Linked DNA regions of Oreochromis niloticus. The protein of the gene in region 1 purifies or fractionates together with the protein of each later gene. This does not show direct contact. Links are inferred from orthologs where the notes say so. Each region holds a gene or a part of one and is shown in the gene's direction. Other genes may lie near its edges. The genes, in order: cdk9, 7SK snRNA methylphosphate capping enzyme and immt.

What was found.
Region 2: the proteins of cdk9 (region 1) and 7SK snRNA methylphosphate capping enzyme purify together in Homo sapiens (affinity purification with mass spectrometry; 10 studies listed by BioGRID and IntAct, counting the BioPlex papers as one, with this or other methods). This does not show direct contact. The link is inferred for Oreochromis niloticus from reciprocal best matches to the Homo sapiens genes CDK9 and MEPCE.
Region 3: the proteins of cdk9 (region 1) and immt purify together in Homo sapiens (affinity purification with mass spectrometry; 3 studies listed by BioGRID, with this or other methods). This does not show direct contact. The link is inferred for Oreochromis niloticus from reciprocal best matches to the Homo sapiens genes CDK9 and IMMT.

The regions. Positions count from the first base shown.
Region 1 is NC_031972.2:34,704,655-34,712,154, reverse strand, and holds the start of cdk9 (cyclin-dependent kinase 9), read left to right. Parts: upstream 1-3,996; 5' UTR 3,997-4,110; coding exon 4,111-4,151; intron 4,152-4,289; coding exon 4,290-4,403; intron 4,404-6,081; coding exon 6,082-6,163; intron 6,164-6,252; coding exon 6,253-6,343; intron 6,344-6,423; coding exon 6,424-6,590; intron 6,591-6,678; coding exon 6,679-6,850; intron 6,851-6,934; coding exon 6,935-7,083; intron 7,084-7,169; coding exon 7,170-7,500. Other genes in the region: fpgs (folylpolyglutamate synthase, mitochondrial), read right to left, coding at 1,033-1,269. UniProt on the Homo sapiens protein: Protein kinase involved in the regulation of transcription.
Region 2 is NC_031975.2:12,332,515-12,341,014, forward strand, and holds the start of 7SK snRNA methylphosphate capping enzyme, read left to right. Parts: upstream 1-4,955; 5' UTR 4,956-5,094; exon of another isoform or gene 5,095-5,219; intron 5,220-5,240; exon of another isoform or gene 5,241-5,374; intron 5,375-5,835; 5' UTR 5,836-5,932; coding exon 5,933-7,744; intron 7,745-8,500. UniProt on the Homo sapiens protein: S-adenosyl-L-methionine-dependent methyltransferase that adds a methylphosphate cap at the 5'-end of 7SK snRNA (7SK RNA), leading to stabilize it.
Region 3 is NC_031966.2:2,141,178-2,148,633, reverse strand, and holds the start of immt (MICOS complex subunit MIC60), read left to right. Parts: upstream 1-4,231; 5' UTR 4,232-4,365; coding exon 4,366-4,407; intron 4,408-6,076; coding exon 6,077-6,144; intron 6,145-6,502; coding exon 6,503-6,692; intron 6,693-7,080; coding exon 7,081-7,207; intron 7,208-7,456. Other genes in the region: slbp (histone RNA hairpin-binding protein), read left to right, coding at 474-617, 1,146-1,259, 1,366-1,437, 2,170-2,292, 2,400-2,555, 2,636-2,744, 3,193-3,252. UniProt on the Homo sapiens protein: Component of the MICOS complex, a large protein complex of the mitochondrial inner membrane that plays crucial roles in the maintenance of crista junctions, inner membrane architecture, and formation of contact sites to the outer membrane.

The DNA.
Region 1 (7,500 bases):
TATTTCTGTAGAATTATGACAGATTGTGTCTAAAAATAATCTACATATTGAGACCAATAAAGAAGTGGCTTAAACCTTGTTTAATCGCCACCAGGTTCCGACTCCTCTGGTTCTCTATAAACCAGCATTAATTGATTTGTGACTGCAGTGAACACATTCCTGATCAGTTCACTGGGCCAATCAGGAGTTTAAAGTCTTACATAAGAAAATGTGGCGTTTATTTTATGAATTATGGTCATTATTACAGTCACAGTGGAGCCTAAAGCAGGATATGCGCCTCGTCAATCATAAACCAAAGAGCAGGCAGTCTGATCCACCCTGAGCCTGCCGGGTTTCATAACAACACCAAGAGGTCAATGGACAGCTACTTCCATCTTTCACATACAGTCTACAGTTGAAACAGACTCAGAAAATCCTGAAAGATAATTTTGCTGCAGTGACAATAAACTCATTCATTGAGTCTCTTTAATATCTGGCCGAAGGAAATCCATGATGGACGCCAAGTGTAAAATTTCATGTTCCAAATGCTCGTGAAAGCAGCAGCAAGAGGAGATAAAAAGGGTCTTATCTCCTCAATTTTGCATAGAGTGGAGGTCAGACTACGGACAGCTCTGACAGTCCCAGCTCTGAAACTGCGGAAAACTCACATTAACATTACAGGAAACAGCAAAAACACCTGAGTTCATCCAGGAAAAGGTCAGGTGAGCCTGGCACGAGTCAAACTAACAGAAATAACATGGCTACACAGAAATACCACAGCACGTGCCAGCGCAGACTTTTAGCCACTGACACTGATAGTCTCATCGCGACCTGTTAATAGCTGTCCAAGCTAACGTGTAACAGCAGATTCCGGGCAGCCTGCAGCTAACTGCCCTCCTCCCCCTGCTGCCAAAGCGCGCTCCTGTCAGCCATGTTTCCATTAAACTCCAAACAGCCCAAAAACTACCTCCAAACTTTCGGAAACAGCCTCGCTGCTCAGTTAGCTAGCTCGTTAGCCGCTGGAGCACGAGCGGCGGCGGTCACGGAGCGTACCTGATACTCCATTCCCGGGATGTGAGGAGCCGTCTCGGTGCTGTAGTGCCGGCACGAAAGACCCGCCAAACTGAGCGCCCGGTCCCGCCGTGCGAGCCGCGCGGCGATGCCCGAGCCCCGCCGCAGCATGCGCGACATGCACAGCATCATGAAGCGTGAAGCTGTTCCAGGAAGGGGACACCAAATATGGAAGGCTCGTTTTTCAAGCGTAATGACGTCAGAACACGCCCCCGTCATTTTTACTTATTTATAAAAAAAAACGTGAAAACGCAAACAAATAAAAAACACGAACAATAATAAACAATAAATAAGCTTTTCTTAAAAAGAAAATATAAAGTAAGCGTGTTCGATAAGGCCAGGGGGGGCATAATCGGCTGACAGTCTCCAATCCGACCTACTCTACGGTTTTGGAAAATATGAATGTGAAAAGAACAAAACCGTAAGTAATAATAATAATGAGCAAATAAAATATATAATTTTAACGGAAGTGAGCAGAATGGACAGGATTAGAAATGAGTACATCAGAGGGACAGCTTAGATTGAGTTGTTTAGAAACAAAGTTATAGAGGCAAGGATGAGATGGGTTGGAAATGTGCACAGGAGGGAGAGTGACTATATTGGACAAAGGATGATGAAGATGGAACTCCCAGGCAGGAGGAAAAGAGGAAGACTACAGATGAGGGCCATGGATGTGGTGAAGGATAGTAGGTAGGTACAGGGTGAGATGGAGGAAGATGATCCGCTGAGAATCTTGGTTGGAGTTATTTAGTATATAATATATTATATTATTATTATATATTATACGCAATAATATGCTTATAATAAATCATTATAACACTATTAATTTTGATAAATGTTTTCATTTGTTTGTTTGTTTGTTTGTTTGTTTGTTTTTGGCACGGTTGTATCTACAGATTATAAATGGCATGCTTTCATTTTTAGCTGTGGAAATTTTCAGAACGACCTGAGATTAGATCAGTATCAGTATTTTTTTCCTTAAATTAGTTTGATATATGTTTTCATTATGACACATAATCATTATTTATTAATTTACATGAGCATTTTTGCTGCTTTGCGGTCGTCAGAATGTCTTGGTTTGTATTTTCACGTTTATTAATTTATCAATCAGTCCGGTTTGGTGCGGAGAGCGCCCCCATGTGGTGGTAAACTAGTAAGCAAGGAGACCCAAATTTGTACTGTATCTTGACTCATAGTTTTGATCAAACGTTTACAGTTATGTCGGTTTTCTAAGATTTTACCCTTAAATTCAGGGCTAAACCCTGGTGAACAGTAATTCACTGCCTTTCTTTAAAAAAGGAATTGGAAGGTCAAAAACAGGTTTTCAGGGGGATCCTTTGGATAATTTGTCTCTGTTTTGTCTGCTAGAAGTAACTTTCAGGTCATAAAAGCTTTTAAAAAAAACTTTAGATCATTTTGGGGTAAAGCATTTGTTTTAGATCTGGTTAGAAGCACAAACTTTGATCCATTACTACACACATTTTCTCTTTGCTGGGCAGCACTAAACTCATCAGTAGTTGAGATTGTTAACATCTTAAAAATTAGTACCAGTCATTACATCACTCCTCAGGATCCCCCTTTCTTATTTAGGTTTGATGGGATTACGAAATAATCTTGTTTACATACTGCAGAGGCTGGCTGATGATGGGTGGGGTCGGGAGAACCTAAAATCCTGTTTATTATTATGCACTTAACCTCCAGCTCTACTTCAGTACGGTATTTAACAGCCTCATTTTCCTCCATTATCACCTGTGCACAGTCGGTTTGATAAAATACTTTGTGTATTTTCTCTGGTGATTCAGAAACTGGGTAATGAAGCTTTTAGCTCTCAAGAAGACCTGGGACCGTCATTTAAGTTTGAAATGGGATAATAAAAGAGTGGGGAAGGATATTTAGAAACATTCAAATACTTTCCAGTGATGCGAGGGATAATTTCTTCACTTTAAGATTGTGCATTGCTTTTATTGGACACCATACAGATTATGTATGATACTACTGTAAAAATCCTGAGTCTTTTGTACATATGCCATCATTTTGTAATAAAATTCAGGAGTTTGGGACTACAATATATGAAAATATTTGCTTGTTTTGCTGTTTTCCCTGGGAGGTAAGACAGAAATATACTAAGGATCTTACCTAAAAGACTGATCTGACAGTGAAAACTAAAAAACTAATTATTTAGTTTTTCAAATCTGATGATTGGTGCTGGGAGAAGGGGAAGAAGGTGGCTTCCATTTTTGTTGTAAAACAAATGTTATAAATGTTGTAAAACAAATGTTTTAGAACAAACATGTTGAAGTTTTCATTCTCCTCAATGTGCACAGCACAGTCTAGAAATGGCAAACTGTTGTCCTTTGTGTCTTCCCTGGTGAACTGTGGTGTTTTTATCCACAGAGTTGATGTGAACAGTGAAGGATTCGTTCGTTGGTTTTGATTAGTGGTTAAAAACATAAAGTTCAACACACACTCAGAAAAAAACTGGTTAATCCCAAAAACAAAACTCCTAAACACAAATTTAACAATGTAGTATAGGCTAGTGTAGTGAGGAATGCTCAAACCCCTACATTGGAGAGACCAAACAGCCACGCATAAACGCATGGCACAACAGAGAAGAGCCACCTCGATGGGACAAACTCAGCTCCATCTGCATCTAAAGGACAAAGGTCACTCTTTCGAGGATGCCAATGTTCACATTTTGGACAGAGAAGACAGATGGTTTGAAAGAGGAGTGAAAGAAGCCATCTATGTCCACTGTGAACGACCATCTTTGAACAGAGGCGGTGGTTTACGACACCAACTGTCTGCCATCTATAATCCAGTTTTGAGATCCATTCCCAGACGCCTTAAGTATTTTTCATTTGTTTTGATTTATTGTCGCTTCTTTTGGGATTATTTTAGCTTTTTGCCCATTTGTATTTGATTTTGGGTACAATAAATTTAAAAATAAAAAAAGAATAACTAAAGCCCGCCCCCGGATCAGTGGGCGGGGCGTCGCTGAGCTCTAGAGGTGACGCCGTGCGCAGACGCTCCACACGTAACTGCGTCGCGGAGTTGGACAAGATGCAGCGGGACAAGACAAGCAACGCCACCGGGGCTGAAAAGTAAGACTAAATCTATTTACTTTTCAATTTAACAAACGGGTTTGCTTTAGTTTGTTTCACCTGCATTTGAGGCGCGTTCTGTGCAAGCCTTGTTTGATGTAACCACTTTAAAGTCTCGTGAATTTTCCTTTTGTCCAGGCCCGATCGGGAGGCCGCCATCATGTCGAAGTACTACGACGGAGTGGAGTTCCCTTTCTGTGACGAGTTCTCCAAGTACGAGAAAATGGCCAAGATCGGACAAGGAACCTTTGGGTGAGTAGTACACAGCAGGCTGGTTGTCTGACTAAATCTTTAACTGCTTTGCGAATTCCGTATAAACGCCAGCTGTGCTAACTGCTAGCCGCACGGAGTGAATGAAGAGCAAGTAAACAACGGAAGTTCCCTTCCTGTATTAGTCCAGCTGCTTATTAAGGAAGGCATTAGCTGATACCTGTTGTTTCGACATATTTTTTAAAACGTATTTAGTTTGTAAAGTTGCAAAGCTTTCATGGGTTATGGTCTTCTGCTGCGATCAACTGAAACAACAGGGCACAAAGATATGGCACGGGAATAATTTGTGACTGGCTAAATGAGCCACATGCTGAAGACAAACCAGGCTCTATCCATAGAGCACCAAAAAAGACTTTGCGTTCTATTCTCAATGAGGGACAACTCTTCTCCCCTGAGATGGAAGGGAGGCAGCTTGACTTCTGTCCTGATGAGCTGATTCTCCGATGCTGTGCCATGCTTCTGTGGGTGTTTATTCTAGGGCTGGGTATCGTCACCGATTTCTAGAATTGATTCGATTCCGATTCACAAGGTCCGGATTCGATTCGATCCACAGTTCGATTCCAAAAGCTGACACTTGTGAGACTTTATCAGAGGTGTAAGCATCACAGCAGATTCCTTTGTGTCAAAGTAACAGAGCATAAAACACAGAAAAACATGAAGATTTTCCCCGCCTGTCTTTTTATAGCAGATAACCACCTTAAAGATATTCTGCAGTAGAACAAAAACAGAAGAAAACCGTGAATCAACATATCAACATTACCTGATGCGGCTGAAGTGAAGCCGAGCAAAGTTACAGAGGTTCAATTAGAGACACAGCTAAACATTTAGCAATTTTGCATAATTTTAAAAAGTTTAAATTTCTTCAGTATTGAACAGCAGAAATGAGGCTTTCTTGTTGGAAGTCGGTTGAAGAAAAAAACCCCCACACAAACAAAAAACAGCGGCCAACAGCGCTGTACATAACGGTAGACTTGTGCGTAATAAGCAAGCGAATAATGCAGAAAACCGAGATTTTTAGATGGGAAGAGAAGAGATGAAGAGAGCTGTGCATGAAGTGCCATTTTTGTCGTGGTGGAAGCAAAACAGCAAAAGTAAGAGGGAATTCGTGACGATGTTTATGTGAAGCGTAGTTTGGATCCAGACCCGCCGATGCATCAGAGTCTTTGAGCTGTCGGCTTTCAGCCCAGACGGGGTGTCAGTGTACTTGCCATCGGGTGAGAAAGCGGACATCTCACTGATTCTGATGCGTCGGTGGGTTCGCACTTAGGTTTTTAGCTGTTTGGTGGCTGTCGAAATTCTGTGAGGTTTAACCTGAGATTCTGGCGTTTCGGGTAAAATACATTTAAATTTTTTTTAAATTGATTCAGGATTTTAATGAATCAATATTGTGTTATTCAAGCTAGAATCGATTTTAATTGGGAAATCGATAATCAAAACCCACCCCTAGTGTTTAGTCTGTAAAGGTCTGAGTACTCCTGGCGGCACTGCACCACTTACATGATGTTGTGGATGAAGCAGTTCTTGTCTGAAGTGGACTGAGATCATGTCTACCACACAAATGCCAGCAGTGTTGTTTCTCTACCCTACTATAGGTTAGGCTATATACCATTTGAGTTGAGTAGTTTAAAAAGCCGACTGTCTAAAATTGTCTCTTGTACAGGGAGGTGTTCAAAGCGAAGCACCGACAGACAGGGAAGAAAGTTGCACTGAAGAAAGTGCTGATGGAAAACGAGAAAGAAGGGGTAAGAAACCAGAGTCTTGGCATCATTTAAAATCCAGTGTGCTGAAAGTTGGTGTGGATGATAATGTAGCTGGTTTTCCTCCCCTTTAGTTCCCAATCACAGCTCTGAGAGAGATCAAAATCCTTCAACTGCTCAAGCACGAGAACGTTGTCAATCTGATCGAGATCTGCAGGACCAAAGGTTAGTGTGACACGAGTGCATGTTTTGTGTGGATTTCAGTTTTTTGGGGTCTGTTTTTAATTTTCTGTTCTCCTTTTCAGCCACTCAGTTTAACAGGTACAAAGGCAGCATCTACTTGGTGTTTGACTTCTGTGAGCATGACCTGGCTGGGCTGCTGAGCAATGCCAACGTGAAGTTCACGCTGGCAGAGATCAAGAAGGTGATGCAGATGCTGCTCAATGGGCTGTACTACATCCACAGGAACAAGGTTAGACTCTCAGAGACACAGTGTGTACTTAAACCAAATGAAATTCCACTGTCAGAATATTAATGATGATCTGTTGTTCTTTGCTCAGATCCTTCACAGAGACATGAAGGCAGCTAATGTGCTCATAACCAGAGACGGCGTCCTGAAGCTGGCTGACTTTGGTTTGGCTCGAGCCTTCAGCCTGGCCAAGAACAGCCAGGGGAACCGCTACACTAACCGCGTGGTGACGCTGTGGTACCGACCTCCAGAGCTGCTGTTGGGTAAGGAAAAAAAAAAAGTAAAATATATTTCAAATCTACTCCTGGTGCAGTTTTTTAATTTCTGTGTTATCTTTGTTTTTGCAGGTGAGCGAGACTACGGGCCTCCAATCGACCTGTGGGGGGCTGGCTGCATCATGGCCGAGATGTGGACACGGAGTCCGATCATGCAGGGGAACACGGAGCAGCACCAGCTGACCCTCATCAGCCAGCTCTGCGGCTCCATCACGGCAGAGGTGAGCCTTCATTCTTTCTCTCGCACTCTGTTTGTTCTGTTTCTCAGCTCTGTGTTAACTTAACTAACCCTCTGTTGTCCCATCAGGTGTGGCCCGGTGTAGACAAGAAGTATGAGCTGTACCAGAAGATGGAGCTGCCCAAAGGTCAGAAGAGGAAAGTGAAGGACCGCCTCAAAGCTTACGTCAAAGACCCGTATGCCCTGGACCTCATTGACAAGCTGCTGGTCCTGGACCCGGCACAGCGAATCGACAGTGACGACGCCCTCAACCACGACTTCTTCTGGTCAGACCCGATGCCGTCAGACCTCAAGAACATGCTCTCCACCCACAACACGTCCATGTTTGAGTACCTGGCCCCACCTCGGCGGAGAGGACACATGCCCCAGCAGCAGCCTAATCAGAACCGGAACCCGGCCA
Region 2 (8,500 bases), on another chromosome or scaffold:
GGAGACTATGGATCCTGGTTTCCACCTCTGAAAAAAATAAAAATAAAACAAATAAACTGCAATCCATAAGTAAAATATATTATCTCAAAATTTCAACATACTACCTGAAACATCTGGGGAAATATAGAAAATAAGGAATTTAACATGAAATTTGCTGTCATTAAATACTTTTTTTTTTCAGTGGCAGAAACAGGCTGCCAAGGAGACAGAAGTAAGTGCTGTTAAAAAATTTTTTTTAAGATGGACTGGGTGGGTTATATTATTGCACCTAGAGAAACTTTATAACTAATTTTGTAAATAAACTGCTCTAAATAATGAGCTTACACAAATATATATTGCACATTAATAAGCACAATAATACTGCTTTTAATATTATATATCAGTCTGTATCGCTGGGGAAAGGAAAAGGAGTTTAATTTGACTTGGCCTGCTCAGTAAACATGTTTCACAACTTGTCTTGGCTTCATTGTACCATAGCTTACTTTACATTTAATTTGTCCATCCATCCATCCATCCATCCATTCGCTTCCGCTTATCCTTTTCAGGGTCGCGGGGGGCACTGGAGCCTATCCCAGCTGTCATAGGGCGAGAGGCGGGGTACACCCTGGACAGGTCGCCAGTCTGTCGCAGGGCCAACACACAGAGACAGACAACCATTCACACTCACATTCACTCCCGCATTCACACCTATAGGAAATTTGGATTAATCAATTAACCTATCCCCACAAACTGCATGTCTTTGGACGGTGGGAGGAAGTCTGAGTACCCGGAGGGAACCCACACAAACACGGGGAGAACACGCAAACTCCACACAGAAAGACCCCGGACCACCGTGCTACCTCCATTTAATTTGTATTATAGAAAACCAAACTGAAAAAAAAAACTAGCTAAAAAAATACAGGGTATAAAACATGACATGTCCAGAGATTCACTTTAGGGTTGGACTGTTAACTGTTATTTTAAGTGAGTATGTTATCTTCCAAAAGGTTTTAAAATCAAGATAAAAGAAATCCCAGTATCTCTTGCCCCTGCTTAAAAATGATAACAAAGAGGACTCCAACCCAGCCCACTCAGTTTATAAAATGTCAAGGAGTGCTTTTTGAACTTTTAATTGTAGTTTCATACCTTTTACAACTTTTACTTGATCCATCCACCAAAATCAAAGTACACGGACGTTTTCTTTGAGTTAGTATAAACTTCATATTTTAATTTATAATAACAGGACAGCCTGAATAATGAACTACCAGAACCTTTTCTATAACTTCAAACATTTATGATTTAGGTCAAGCTCACTTTATGTAACTTTACTGTGGACATGATGTAAAATCAGCTCAACATCGCGGCCATAACACAGTGAGGCTTAGTTCAGTTCACACCTATTTTTTTATGCATTTAGGGTTTCTGTTTCAATGACGGACAAAGCTATACATTTACTGAAAATCTATCATTTCACTGAAAATCTATCATTTTCAGTAAATGTTTTCTTTGTCACCACCAAAATCAAAGTTTTCCGTGTCTTAAAATTTTGATAATTATAATTCAAAGGTGATGGAAGTGAAAAGAAGCTGCCTGTACACTGCACACAATTTCTAGCTGATGCAGAGGTTTATAAAAGGCTCAGTTTAGACCAGGGGTGTTAAACAAAAGGCCCAGAATCAGACATCTTTGAAAAATGTGAAGGAGATGGTAAATGGACTGATTCTTATATAGTGCTTTTCTACTCTCCCGGAGTACTCAAAGCGCTCTAGACAACATGCCTCATTCACCCAATGACACCCACTCATACAAGCACTTCTAAACTCAAGTGCAACTAATAAGCACATAATTCACACACATTTACACTCCGATGAACGCATCTGAAGGCAATTTGGGGTTAGTATCTTGCCCAAGGATATTTGGCATGCAGACTGGAGGAGCCAGGAATCGAACCACCAACCTTCCAATCAGTAGCTGATCTGCTCTACCACCTGAGCCACAGCCACCCCTCATACATTGTAGAGTTTTAAGTCTACTTTCAAAAATTGTAAAGCTTTTCTGACTGATTATGTCTTTAATAGTACACCAACGTAATAGATAAACAATTAAATTACAAAAAAATTTGCTTCTTTTTTTCCCACACAACCCACAATAGAAATTTCTGTTTTCCATTTTTTTGTGAGTTAAGAAAAACTTTCTCCATTATAATTACAGGACAGTCTGCACAATGAGCTGCCAGAACTTCTTCTGTAATTTTACACATTTATGTTTTACAATTTAAGCCCAAAAGATTCATGTTGACAAATTTCTTTAATTAAACAGAGTGGCATTTCTCTACCATGCAGTACAACTGAGATGTGCTGTTAAAATTGCACTTTATTTTTTCTTATACTGAAATATGGCAGGAATAAAATGTGCATCTAAACTTATTCCAACTGACAGAAAGGGCATTTTTACTGACATGCGCTGTATTTGACCTCACATGTAAAATGAGTTTGAAAACCCTGCTGTAAACACTGGTCAAGATAGAAATTATGACACACTTTACAGGGCTTTCTTGTAAAGTCTGTCATCTAAATTAACTTTGAAGTTTGAATCAAAGCTATGGTACCAAAATTCAACTCAATTCAAAATTTATTTGTATAGCACATTTAAAAACAACAGAGTTAACCAAAGTCCTTCACAATCAGTTAAGAACAAGAGAAAGCAATAGGGAAACAAATATAGATAAATTAGAAACAAATACAGATAAATGAGAAGAAAACGAATTAACATTAAAAACATAAAACAGGCCTGATGGTACTCAAACTGAACTCGAATTAAAAGCCAAAGTAAAAAAGTTTTAAGACGTGATTTAAAAGACTGAATAGACTCTGAAGTACGAATATCCTCTGGTAGATTATTCCAGAGTCTGGGTGCTGCTGCTGCGAAGGCCCAATCTCCTCTATGCTTCAATAGAGACCTCGGTTGTGCTAAGAGCATCTAGTTAGATGATCTCAGCACTCTTTTGGGGTCATACATGTTGAGGGATTTCTTTATATAACTGGGCGCCATATTATTTAAAACTTTAAAAGTAAATAAAAGAATCTTAAAATCAATACGATACTTTACAGGGAGCCGGTGTAAATTTGGTAAAACTGGAGTGATATGTTCATACATTCTAACACCTGTTAAAAGACGCTCAGCAGCATTTTGGACTAACTGCAAGCGATGGAGAGATGAGTATTGAAGACCCAAATAGAGAGAATTGCAGTAGTCCAGTCTAGAGGTGATGAAGGCATGAATAAGTGTTTCTAGGTCTCTTGGAGGAAGATAAGGCTTAGCTTTGCCAATTTCACGTAACTGATAAAAACTTGTTTTCAGAACTGTGGACACTTGCTTCTCTAATTTAAAGGAGCTGTCTAAAAACACTCTGAGATTCCTTATGGTGTGAGAAAGATGAGAAGCAAGAGGACCGAGGGTATCAGTTAACTTGTTCAAAGGGCATGAGTTCCAAAAACCATAACTTCAGTCTTATTTTCATTTAGTGTGAGGAAATTCTGTGTTAATCAGTCTTTGACATCATGCAGACAGTTAAGCAAAGGCTGCAGTGGGACAGAGGCATCCAGTTTCAAAACTAAAAGCAAAAATAAGTTCACACCCTATGAAGGTATGCATGTAGCTACAAAGGGTGTGATTATGCCTGAAGATGTGTAGTGTGAGCTCTCATCACACTATATACCTTCATGTTACAAAACTCTGTACTAAAAAGAGGACGTGTGTGTGTGTGTGTGTGTGTGTGTGTGTGTGTGTGTGTGTGTGTGAGGAAAAGGCAGTAGCTGTGATTTTTAGGGATTATAACTACAGGGATTGTTTGGCCACTACATATTTAATGTTTGAAATATTTTAATACTAGGGGAAAAAGGGCATAAAAAATAAATGTGTAAAATTAGAGAAAAATTGCAAAGACTGTTCTAAAATGTTGAAACAAAAACATTTTGTCAATGTCTTGAATGTCTTTTATTTATACGATTAACCCACTGTAAAAATCATACATTTCTACAGTAGATAGTGAAAAACTGGAACTTTATGTTTTTTAATTGTTTGTGTATTATTTACTTTGTTGTAGTATAAATGGCCAAGGCACGGGGGAACGCTGTAGAAGTTGTTAAAATTCTGTTGAATATAAATAGTTTACGTCCTCCTTCACATTTTCCAAAGCCATTCAGTGGGCTGCTTTTGCCGGTTGATTCTCGCCCCCAGTCCTCATGTTTGATACCTCTGACATGCATAATTAGAAACGTGCATTTGCAAAAGTGCATGCACATCAGTTGGGAAAGAACATACAAAAGGAAACTGTGAGGTTGCTGCTTATCAGTAAACTTTATAAAAACCTAATGTGCAGGCTATGCAATACTCAGGTTACTAATAAGGCCTACTCTACTATTAGTCTACTAGGGCTGTAAGGGTGTATGGATTAAAGTCTGACTTTAGGACTAAACAAATTAGTCGAATAATCGAGTAGCAACAAAGAAACTAATCTCAACTAGCTGAATTGATAGTCAGGGTAGTTAACCAAGGCGGGAAAGCTCTATGTTCACTTTAGAGTGTCCCTCAGCCCTCCTGTTTTGTTAAGTTGTTCCCTTTCATATATTGTCTAATAAATGAATTAAATTTAAGCTGCTAATCAATCAATAACAAAACTATCATCGGCTCTAATGTTACCTGCAGTAGGAGGCTCATTATAATATCGTAGAGGGGAGTTCTCCTCACCGCCTCGCAGCCACCAGTCAGAGATCTCCGCCCCAGTCATCTTGGGCTACAGCTCGGAGCCCGGATGCGCCGCCATGCCGCCTCTGTCAGCGAATGGAATAATTTATTCACCAACCTGCCTCACACTGGCCCACTAGGAGTTGACTGAAGAAGTCGACAAGACAGTTTCGTGGCCACCGGAGCCTTTGCTGCCTACAGGCCAGTGCAGGATACCCGAGCCGTGCCTGCTCGCTTGTTTGCGTAGCTTAGCACTGTTGTGTCGCTGTAGGGACACTTGTGTGCTAGCTGCGCTAACGTTAGCTCAAGCGGAGAGAGTGCGGGGTAGTGACAGTCCGGCCGGAGGCGGGGAGAGCCGCGAGCTGCGAGGTGAGACTGTTATATTTTGATGGTGGTTGCTACCCTGTTGACTACGCGTGGCCATCTGGGAAATGGTATCACTTTCGTGAGTGTGACTCACGATTTTAGTGGGGTTCGGGCAGCAGCATATCGAGGTGGGTACTTTGGTGCTTGTCTGGTAGCGCTTTCTGGCCGGAGTAGAGCGTAACGTTTACTCGACGTTTCAATCTTCTTGGCCCGCGATAGAGAAGCTAAGAGCTAGCTTGCTAACTGGGTAACAGTGCCAGACGGGGACTCCTAAACTTTTCAGGTCAGCAACCCCTGTGTAGACACGCTTCAGATACCACAATACAGATGTGATAAGGGTGTGAGCCAAGAGATTCACTGTATCTAAAAAGATGAATTTTCTGTATTGTTATTAGGAAATCACAGTGGAATGTAAAGGGTTATTTTTTAACTCCCACCTCATAGGTATAAATACAGATACAGTGGCCCTTGGATGTGCAAGTGCCTGGACATCCCAGGATGCCTTGAGCATATTTTTGTAGTAATATTAGCCAACTTATGTTACTTTACTTAACAGATGTGTGTGTGTGTGTATGTGTGTGTGTGTGTGTGTGTGTATGTGTGTGTGTGTGTGTGTATGTGTGTAATCACAACAATGAGGAGGCACCAGGTTTAAAGCAATTTTGTTCACCATATCTAAAAGAATGTTAAGTTTATGGCATCAGTTTTCCTTCCTGTAACTTCTTTGTTTCTTTTGTTTTTCAGGCTCAGAAAATTGCCCCCCACCCCCCAAAAAAAACAAAAACAACAACAACAACAAAAAACCCTTCTATGTCTTCATCAGCTCTGAAAATCAAAAGAGATGTCTGTTGATGAGGATACAGCAAAAATGGGCAGTCCACAGCCTAGCTCGACGTCATCTCTGCAGCTCACGGATTGTCCTGGAGGTTACGGTGGTGTGTCTGTGATGATGGAGGAAACTGCAGCTACCCCTGACTTTGCAGCTGCTTGCCCTCTTCTGGGCACTGCTGCCTCGCCAAAACACACCAGCACAACTGATGCGCTCACCCTCGCAGACAATGCTGGACAGAGAGCCAGAGGGAACGAGAATAGCATCAATCGCAGAAATAGCTTTCATCATTCCAAACAACAACAACAACAACAACAGCAACAACAAACGAAGCTAACAAAGCGGCGCTACACAGCAAATTCTAGTTTCAAGCATCCTTCATCTGGCAAACGGCGACGAAGGGCCAACTCTGAGAGCGATTCTGTCCTGCCCACCAACTTCCTCTTGGGTGGGAACATTTTTGACCCGCTGAATCTCAACAGCCTGCTGGATGAGGAGGTCAACAAGGCGCTGAATGCAGAGACTCCCAAATCCTCTCCGCTGCCAGCAAAAAGTCGAGACCCTGTGGAGATACTCATCCCCAGGGACATCACAGACCCACTGAACCTGAACAGTGGGATAGCTGACAGCAGCTTTTTGGCTTCTCCCTTCAAGAGTGGAGGAAGGAAGAGACACCGCAACAGGCACCATGGGGGTGGAGGTGGGAGTGGTGGCAGTATTGGGATTTCAGCCACACAAATGAACCTCTCAGAATCAGGAAAAAGTGAAGTTAAAATAGGTCCTTCTGTACCTCTTCAAGGTACCTTAGCCTCATGTTCTGCACTAGAATCCAACAACGAATCCGGTAGTGTTTCTAGTGTCATGGCAGAGTCCCACGAGCACACAGATTGCAGCTCAGCAAGCTGCAAGGAGGAGATGCCGCCTGCATCCGTGGAGGATTCCACTTTAGGGGCACCGTACCAGCACACAAGTAGACGCAAGCGAAGGCGCAACTCGGGCAAAATGGAGCCCCCTGTCACCCATTCTACTCCAATTGGCAAGTCGGGACCTGGAGACAGGCATTTTGGTGCAGGGGGAGCAAGAAATTCCTTTCACACACCAAAATCTGGTTCCAAAATAGGCCCTGGAATACGCCAGCACCAGCAGCCCCACTCTCATACAAAGGAACAGCAGAAGAAGTTCCAGTATGGGAATTACAACAAGTATTATGGATACCGCAACCCGGGCTGCAGTGAAGACCCTCGTTTACGTCTGCTTCGTCCCGAGTGGTTTAGAGGTAAAGAAGTACTGGATTTAGGGTGCAACTCAGGCCATGTAACACTCTATATCGCCAAAATGCTAAGACCCGCCCGCATATTGGGCCTAGACATTGACAGTGGTCTGATACATGCAGCTCGTAAAAACATAAGACATTATCTGTCTGAGCTGCAGACCCAAGAGGCCAGGCGAGCAATGCAGGGCAAAAAGACTAGTAAACAGGAGGAGACAAATGGAAACGCGAGTCACACGGGCACAGAAAAAGAGCACAATGAAGCCGAGAGCAGGGACGAAAATGGGAAACCTGTGAAAGGAGAAAGTGGCCCTGCAGATACTGGAAATGACAATGAGTCGTGTCACACGGATGAGATGGAGACCCAGAGGCAGGGCAGCAAAACAGAGGAAATGGAGCAAGAAGACTGTGATTCACCCCCCGCTGATCACTCTGAGAGCTGCTCTTTTCCTGTATCCCTACGGATCTCCAGGGGTCCCATTGCTGCACCCCCGCTAACACAAACATCCACGGTGCAGCCTGGGGAGTTTCCTTCAAATGTGTCCTTCGTCAAGGTAAGAGAGGATTTTTTTATTTATTTTTTTCCTTTCGGGAATATGGCTCAGATTTCTGTGTTGCTGCATATTTTGAACCTAGATGGCAAATTCAGAAAAATTTAGACATTGTGTGTGTCCTGCTTTATAAATTAATGTTAGGGTAACTGAATAAAATGTGTAAAAATGCACAAAAATGTGAGTGCATTATGAGGACTGACCAGCCTCTCAAGAGAACTTGATGCAAATTGTGCACACACTTCCTCTCACTGTGACCTTTTTTTTTCTTCCCCACTATAAAACAGTTATATAGTATTATATCTCAAAAAAACTGACCTTTACATTTAATCATGTCAGTGGCTCCTTTTCTTTTTCTGTCACATTAGTTGAGCTGTGGCTAAATATTAAAAGGTATTATGATGAATCCATACGGCAATTGGTTGTAAAAATTTATTTGCATAGCACTTATCAAAACCAGCGTTGCAAAATGCTTCCCAAAAAAACTGAACAAAACTAAACACTAAATGAACAAACTAGGAGGAAATTGGAAAAAAAACAATGTACACTACGAGTCAAAAGTTTGGACAAACCTTCTCATTTAATGGTTTTGCTTTATTTTCATGACTCTTTACTTTGTAGATTCTCACTGAAGCCATCAAAACTATGAATGAACTCGTATGGAATTATGTAGTAAACAAATAGTGTGAAATAACTCAAAACATGTTTTATATTTCAGATTCTTCAAAATAGCCACCCTTTGCTTTGATAACTGCTTTG
Region 3 (7,456 bases), on another chromosome or scaffold:
CCTCCTCCAGGAAAAACAAGAGTCACAGATGGATGATGGTCCGAACAATCGGAAGAAGTTGGCGGGAGAAATTGTCTATTAAAGGAAATGTATGGCTCCAGTTTTACCCACTGTACTCAACTAATCATTTATTATTAAATAAAATTCACCTTCTCTAAACTTTAATCTGTCTAAGAAGGTTCAAAAGAAATCCCCGGAGCATTTTGAAGCAGTTAGTGCAGCTTTGCCATTGTGGAATACGGAGACGTGAAACCGTCATGAGTGTTTTCCTGTGTGGGACCGTGCGTCCCACCGTGTGTTTGCAGTTCTTGCACATATTTGCTGGTTTTGCATTTTTAACAGCCATGATTTTTTTTCCCTAATTTGACACAGAAGAGAATGTTTTTGAGAATTGTTTGCAGAAATCTGATATCAAAACAAGAATGAATTGGCATGTTTAAATCTACACGTTTTTTTTGTGTCTTCTTGTGTAGCTTTGGCCCATCTCGGTGGTCCCACTGCAGGAAGAGGGGCGTCAATGGGAGCCTGCGGAGCAACAGCGAGGCAGATGATATTGATAAAAGAAGGAACGGACACGCCGACTCCAGCTACAAACACCCTGATCGCAGACATGCTAGGTGAGAGTAAGCTCAGTTAATGTGGAAAGTGATAAATGTATATTAATGCAGGGAACTCATAACTGAAAAGCCATGAGGCGGCTGAAGCTTTGTGGATTTTTGGCATTTGTTGGGGAAATGTTTCAGTTTTAGTGTTTCAGACCCACACAGCTTTAATGGCCCTGTTCAAAGGTGCTTTGTCAAATGTAAACAGCGTGAGAATTTCATTGGTCTGTGTAGTTCACATCCAAACTCCAGTGTAGGCTCGAGAAGAAAAACAAGTTTGTTTGTTTGTTTTAAATTAAAATAAATAACACAGTGGTTGTAAAGTAATATTTGGTAAATTATTAGAATGATTTTAGTTTGAATGGTAGTGTTTTAAAAAAATCAAACTACATTATTGCTGAGTGAAGCCAGCCAGTCTCTGCTCATGAACCACTTTAAAAAAACAGCTTACTGACTCCATTACCAACATGTGGCCACAACATCTGCAGGAACTGTAGCAGTAACATCCCTGTGTGTGTGTAACCTGTGGTATTGTCCTCCTAGCTTTACTACTCCAGAGAGCACAGGTCCAGTGTCCCGCTGTGGTCAACAGGCTGACTGGGGCAGCCAGGTGGAGGACGATGAGATGAGGAGGGATGTGCACAGAGACATGCAGCGGTAATTAAACAGTTTCTACATTATTTCAGTTGTCTTTTTAAGCACCTGAAAGCAGAGACTGGCTTCCTGTTTTGGATTGCAGACTCACTGTTTGCACTGTGTTCAGTTACAGGAGGAGGATACTGGGGGCAGAATTCACCCAGAGGGAGAGAAGGGCCTCGTCTGGCTCTTCTGGAAGGTATCTCATTCTCTCACAGACCTTTCAACTCAGAATATTCATGAACTGATGGAACACTCACTTCTCAAACCACACATCCACCTGCAGCTATACAAGTGTGCAATTATTAACATTAAATAAGACGAGACAAAACGTATTCATCCCCAAAATAATGGAAACATGAAATAAAATCAACGCAGTATCACTGAACAAAGTGGCGAGTAAGGTAAAACAGATTGCACTAATGGAGCTCAGTTATATGGTAACAAAAGTAAAGTGCTCAGCATCAAAATATGATGTGATAAATATCATATCTGCTATGAGACGATGAGGGTTTTCTGTCCTTGTGACAGCGAGGCTGAAACACGACGACGTGTCAAATATGGCTTTAACTGCTGTTTCCCCAAATCCTGAACTGATCCAGTTTTGGTTTGTCAGAACTTTTCTAGTCTTACTGACATCTCAACACACTCCAGACTACTGTTACATAGTTACTGTTACGTAGTTACATTGTATTATATCATGTCATGGGCTTTGAACTCATTACTAATGTAGTTTTGTCCATTAAACAGTAACACAGGTTTGTTTAACATGACAATAACCTTTTCATTTTTCAACAACTTTGTGTTTACAATCATTTTAGAATAAAATCATTATGAAGGAAGTCGGGCTCTTTTCGTGATGAATGTTAGTTGTGCCTCTATTTTTGTATTGTGTGCATGTGAATGTGGACTAAATGTGTCTGTGCTTCAGCTGTGACTCCAGAGAGGGAGATAACTTGGAAACCGATGAAGCTGTGTTACTACGACGACAGAAACAGATCAACTATGGCAAGAACACGCTGGCCTACGACCGCTACATCAAAGAAGTTCCTAAGTAGGTCAACAGAAACGCATGCTGTGGAACATCCAGTGTAAAGCCTGTCCACTGCTTGTGTGTGTAATACACTGGTCAACGTTAATCCCCGCGTTTCTTGTTTTCAGACACATGCGTCAGCCAGGCGTTCATCCAAAAACTCCCAATAAGTTCAGGAAGTACAGTCGTCGCTCCTGGGACCAGCAGATCAAACTGTGGAAGGTCAAACTACATGCCTGGGACCCCCCTGCAGAGGAAGGCCAGGACAAGACCCTCGATGTCGTGTAAGACACTCGTACACATTCTGCACGTCGTCAGTCAGCTGAAAGCCGTCCTCATGTATGATTTCTCCTTGTCCCACCAGTGAGGAGCTCAACCTTGATGATGTAATGGACATTGAACTAGATTTCCCAACCATTACTGACTCCCAGAACAGCCAGACCTCGCTGCCGATACACAGCCTGTCAGTGGAGGTGAGTGGAAGTCATTTAGGTGCTGCTGAAATGTTGAGGCCCACACACGTGCTGACGACTGACGGACAAGTAACGATTGTAGAGTTTGTTTAAGAGGTTTTGACTAAATCTTTCTGGAACCTTGGTTTAAATATTTATTTGGTCCATTGTTTAGATGATCCATCAGTTTTTAAGAAAATAAAGATGATGATGGTGGGATTGCTTATAAACTTGGCACAAAAAGAAAGGAAACGTGTTTGCTCAGCTTTCTCTTTACTCAACTCTGCTGTTTAACCCACGAATGGATTTTTTCTTTACAAATGTGGCCCATTTAAGGGGAAACAACCAGGCTGTCCAATGGGAAGAAACACAGGTCTCCTTACTTTTTGTGCAAAGTTTAATCAACAGATGAGAAAGCCACCCTTACAAACACTGTATTAAATGATGTTGTTTGTGTTGTGTTGCTCAGGATGAAGACTGCGGTACTCCGGTCAAAGTACAAAGGACAGCAGAGCCTAATATGTCATAGCTTGTTATTGAATGGTTGAGTCTTCCCCCCGACATCGACTTCACACAGTCCACTCAGAAAAACTGCTCCAGCTGTCAGCTAAGAGTCTGTGTGGACACAGCATCACTCTGCTGTGTCTTTGGCTGGTAGTCATTGATTATACTTTAATATTGAGTTTTGTTTTCACCATATGTTTCTCCATCCACAGTTTGGGCCATTTGTTGTAGTTTATCTGTTCAGAGTATTTTATGGCAAGATTTTACATTTTTAATCAAGCATGTTTCAGAATTTGGTATGTAAAAACCCCCACTTGCTGTACCAGTGAGAGGCCTGTTGGAGTGTGCATCTAGTTTCGTGCAAATGTGAGCTTACATCTCTCATATTCTACCTGAGAAGATTCCAGATGCATAGAAACTGTCTGAACTCGGAGGGGTCGTCTTAATAGTTTAAAGGACGTGGGAAAATCGGAGACAATGATGTGTGTTGTTTTGAGTTATCCTTGAGAAATATTGGGCTGTGGCTTTTTGTTTTCTGTTCTGTTCTGTTTTGTTTTGTTTTAATACAAATGTAATTGTTTCTTACTGCTGTATCTTTAATAGAACTTGAAATAAAAAAAACAAATAAAACAAACAAGAAAAATCAATATTTCTTCTTTTTTTGTGATTTTTGGCTAAAAACTGCTGAAAACTTGGTCCACCGTTGGACAGCATGCCACAGATTTAAACAGTGACTTTGAAACCAGAGTTTCTCTCTGACACACTTCACACAGCTGATGTAGTAATTAATGGAAAATGTGTTGAATACTGTATGAACTCACACATAAACCAGTGTTGTGTGCTTGAGAGTATAGATAACCAGAACTGCCCGTCACTGGTGAGAATCTGTTTAGCTTAGTTTAGGAGAGCTGGGAAGAATAAGGATCATCTGTCTGACTTACGTCAGATGGAAGAATGACGCGAATGTAATTTAGCAACATCATAAGGGGGCGCTGTTGTGCACGCAAACGTTTAATCCACGCAAAGTACTGAGGAGAAGAAGGGTGCGCGAAAAGACGAAGAAGAGCAGCAAAGAAATAATCTGTTTCTGTGCAGGTCGATTTATTTACGAACTCAGAAACCAAAGTAGGAGAAGACCATGCTGAGAGCGTGTCTGAGAGGGGCTAATGCTACCGCCCGGGTAAGCCTTCTGTCTGCTCCCCAGCCGCGGGCTAACGTTAGCGTGTTGTCATTCAGTGACCCAGAGCCTGCCTCAAGGTGCCACAGTCAATTTTGTCGTAGACTAATTCGGGCTGTTAACTCTTCGGTGCTGTCGAGCGCTGTATTTGAAGCAATGCAGTTGGTTGTGGAAGCTGTCAAAGAGATCAGCGCAGCATGCTAATGTTAGCCGGTTTTCTTCCGGTGACAGATGGATAATGGCGTTTTAACCATAACCAAGCTAACGAGTTTGGCTAAGTTTGAGCGGAGAGGTCATCATGGCAAAAACCAAAACTTGTCTGTTCATTCTGTTTGACCTTTTATCGGCCACAGGTTTGATAACAGCTAACCGGAGCAGTATTTTAAAATGCTACTAGCGGCACTAGCATTTAAAAACGCGTTTTCACGTAGACTTTATAATGAATAAATAAACGCTGCAGGTTGTCTTCGTAAAATCCCCAAATACTAACGCATGATGTGGATTCTCGAAAACTTTGTTCTATTTCTGGGATTGAATGTGCAGCTAGACTTCTGTACAGTGACAGAAAGGTGGCTGTCACCTGTTAAAGTGGACTGGAATAAGTTTGACATCTCTGGTCTGCAGCGTCACACTGTTGCACAGATGTTTTATTACGAGGGAACCTCGGCTCTTTTCACCTGACTAAACGCACAGTAACATATTCGTTTCTGCCGGACTCACCTTGGATTTGTTTGCCATGCACCTGAATCTGTATTTACAAAATAAGAGTTCAGTTTACTGCTCAGAAATCATGCTTTGTACTTCATTTGCTGATCTGTTTTAAATGGTAAGTCAACAGTTCTGTGCTTATTTTTGTTTTGATTTCATCACGATAATTTATGTATTTTTATGATTTAACAGCAAATGAAAAACCGCGCTGAGCTTATTACTTACTGGATTTTTTTCTTATGCTATAGTTAAATGGGCAAGCTCGTGTGTCACAAGAATATCATGAAATTTAAAACTGAAATCATCAAATGCTGATTACCTGGTTGTCATCGACATGTTGACGACCGACCTGTCAGTATAGTACTGCGCAAAAGTCTCGACACCCCCCCCCCTCACCGCAGGCGTCTATCCTTCAAGCTCGGCTCCTCTGCCAGAGGCCTGATAGCTTGATGGTCCTGCGCAGTATCTTAGCTGTTCCTAGGACTGCGCTCTGCGCTGTTTCAGTCCACACCCCTGTCTGTTTCTTGACTGCCACCTTCCCACTGAAAAATGTAATTGATGAAGCTGTTCTGAAACTAACCCGTGTCCATCCAAGCAGTGTGGCATCGTCTTGACAGAGGATGAAACCTCTGTTTCTGAAAACTATTTAATGTAATTACAAGAAAACATGGCTCAGAGTGTTCAGGCTGTTTTGAAGAGTAAAGGTGTTCAGACAAAGTACTGATTTTCAGGCTTGTTAGAGTTGCACAAAGTCTGTTTTTACCTTTTGAACCGCATCTCTGCACCTAATTCCCCAACCCTTTTATCCAAGGATAATAAGGAATGATAAGGAAAACATTGGGTAGTTTGTTGCTTGCACTGGAATTTGTTGCTCTAAGGTGTCCTTGCTATAAATGTGTGTCCGTTCTGGATCTGTCTGACATGGATTTCTTTTCACTGTCACGCTTTCCTCACCACTTTCCAGAAGAACTACAGGAGAATCCCTCTTACCAGTCTGCAGCAGTGTCGGCACTACACAGCAGGAGAGAGCAGGTAACACACCAACACACACAGTACAGTATTCAACTGTCTTCTTAAGGGCTTCTCACATAGATGTGACATGTGCTGTGCTGACCACCAAATCTGTGTCCCGCTGGTCCCTGCGCTCTGGCTCCACGTCATTTCAAAACGTGGATCTCTCATCCTCAAGAGAAGATCTTTAGCGGTATCCGTAGCAGTGTGTCATTTCTACAACATTGTTTTCCTCCTGAGGTCACTATTTGGGCCTAAAGTTGTGTCATAAAGTCAGCTGAACTAGGATACACACAGAATGCTGCGTCCCGTCTCAAAGGCCGTTAGCGAGACTGTCCTGTGGCATTCATTCATGTCTGCTTGTCCTTTTTCATTCCAGTAGTGCTTCCAAAGTGGTTGTTGCTGGCTTGTTGACAGTAAGTGGTGGCATTGGAGGGACCATACTCTATGCCAAATGGGACCACAAGTTCAGAGCAGCGGTTGAGAAGAACGTCCCATACTCAGACTGGCTGCTGGGTTTGGCTTTGGGACCCCCTGCCCAAGATCCTGGCCTCCCCATAAAGAAACGGGTACGGTGCTGTCCCCAGCTCATCCTAATTATAGTTACAGGACACAAAGTTTGTTTGTATTTCACCATCAGGTAGTGGAAGAACAATCTAACATTTTTTTCTTTTACCGACTCTCCATTTGTGAGCAACTATCTGTTCTCTGATGGTTTACTGTATGTTAAAATGGCTGATCAGACTGCGTTGAAGCCCCCATACCTCCACCTCCATACCTCCACCTCCATACCTCCACCTTTCCAGTGTGTGTCTGTTAAAATTTGACTCAGAATTGAAGATATCAGCAAATAAACTTCCATACAATACAATATAAATATTTGTATAGAAAGAGTAAAAATATTTCTACAACCACACTGTAATAATGTATGCTTTGATTTAAATGGTTGCTGTTAAGGTGGAGTTGGCCCAGCCGCCCTCTATGATAGAAAAACAAGTGAAGAAGTCGGCGAAGAAGGAGGGAGCCGAGGGTCCAGTCAAAGACTCCAGCCCCGTCCCCAGTAAGCCTGCACAGAGCATAGAGGGTAAGTGTGGCACCCACTGTCATTATAACTCGTGGCTTCATGTTACCATCTGCCTTTTATCGTGTGCTTTTTCAGCTTTATTTCTATTTCTGTTTTGTTAGATTTCTTTCACAGTAGTCGGGTGGAGCACCCACAGTTTCACTGTATCTGTGCAGTGACAGTAAGAGGCTGTTGTATTTGTACACAAACGTTGTGCCTGCGTACACCACCACAGTGGGTTTGAACTCAACCAAGATGAATGCAGCACAG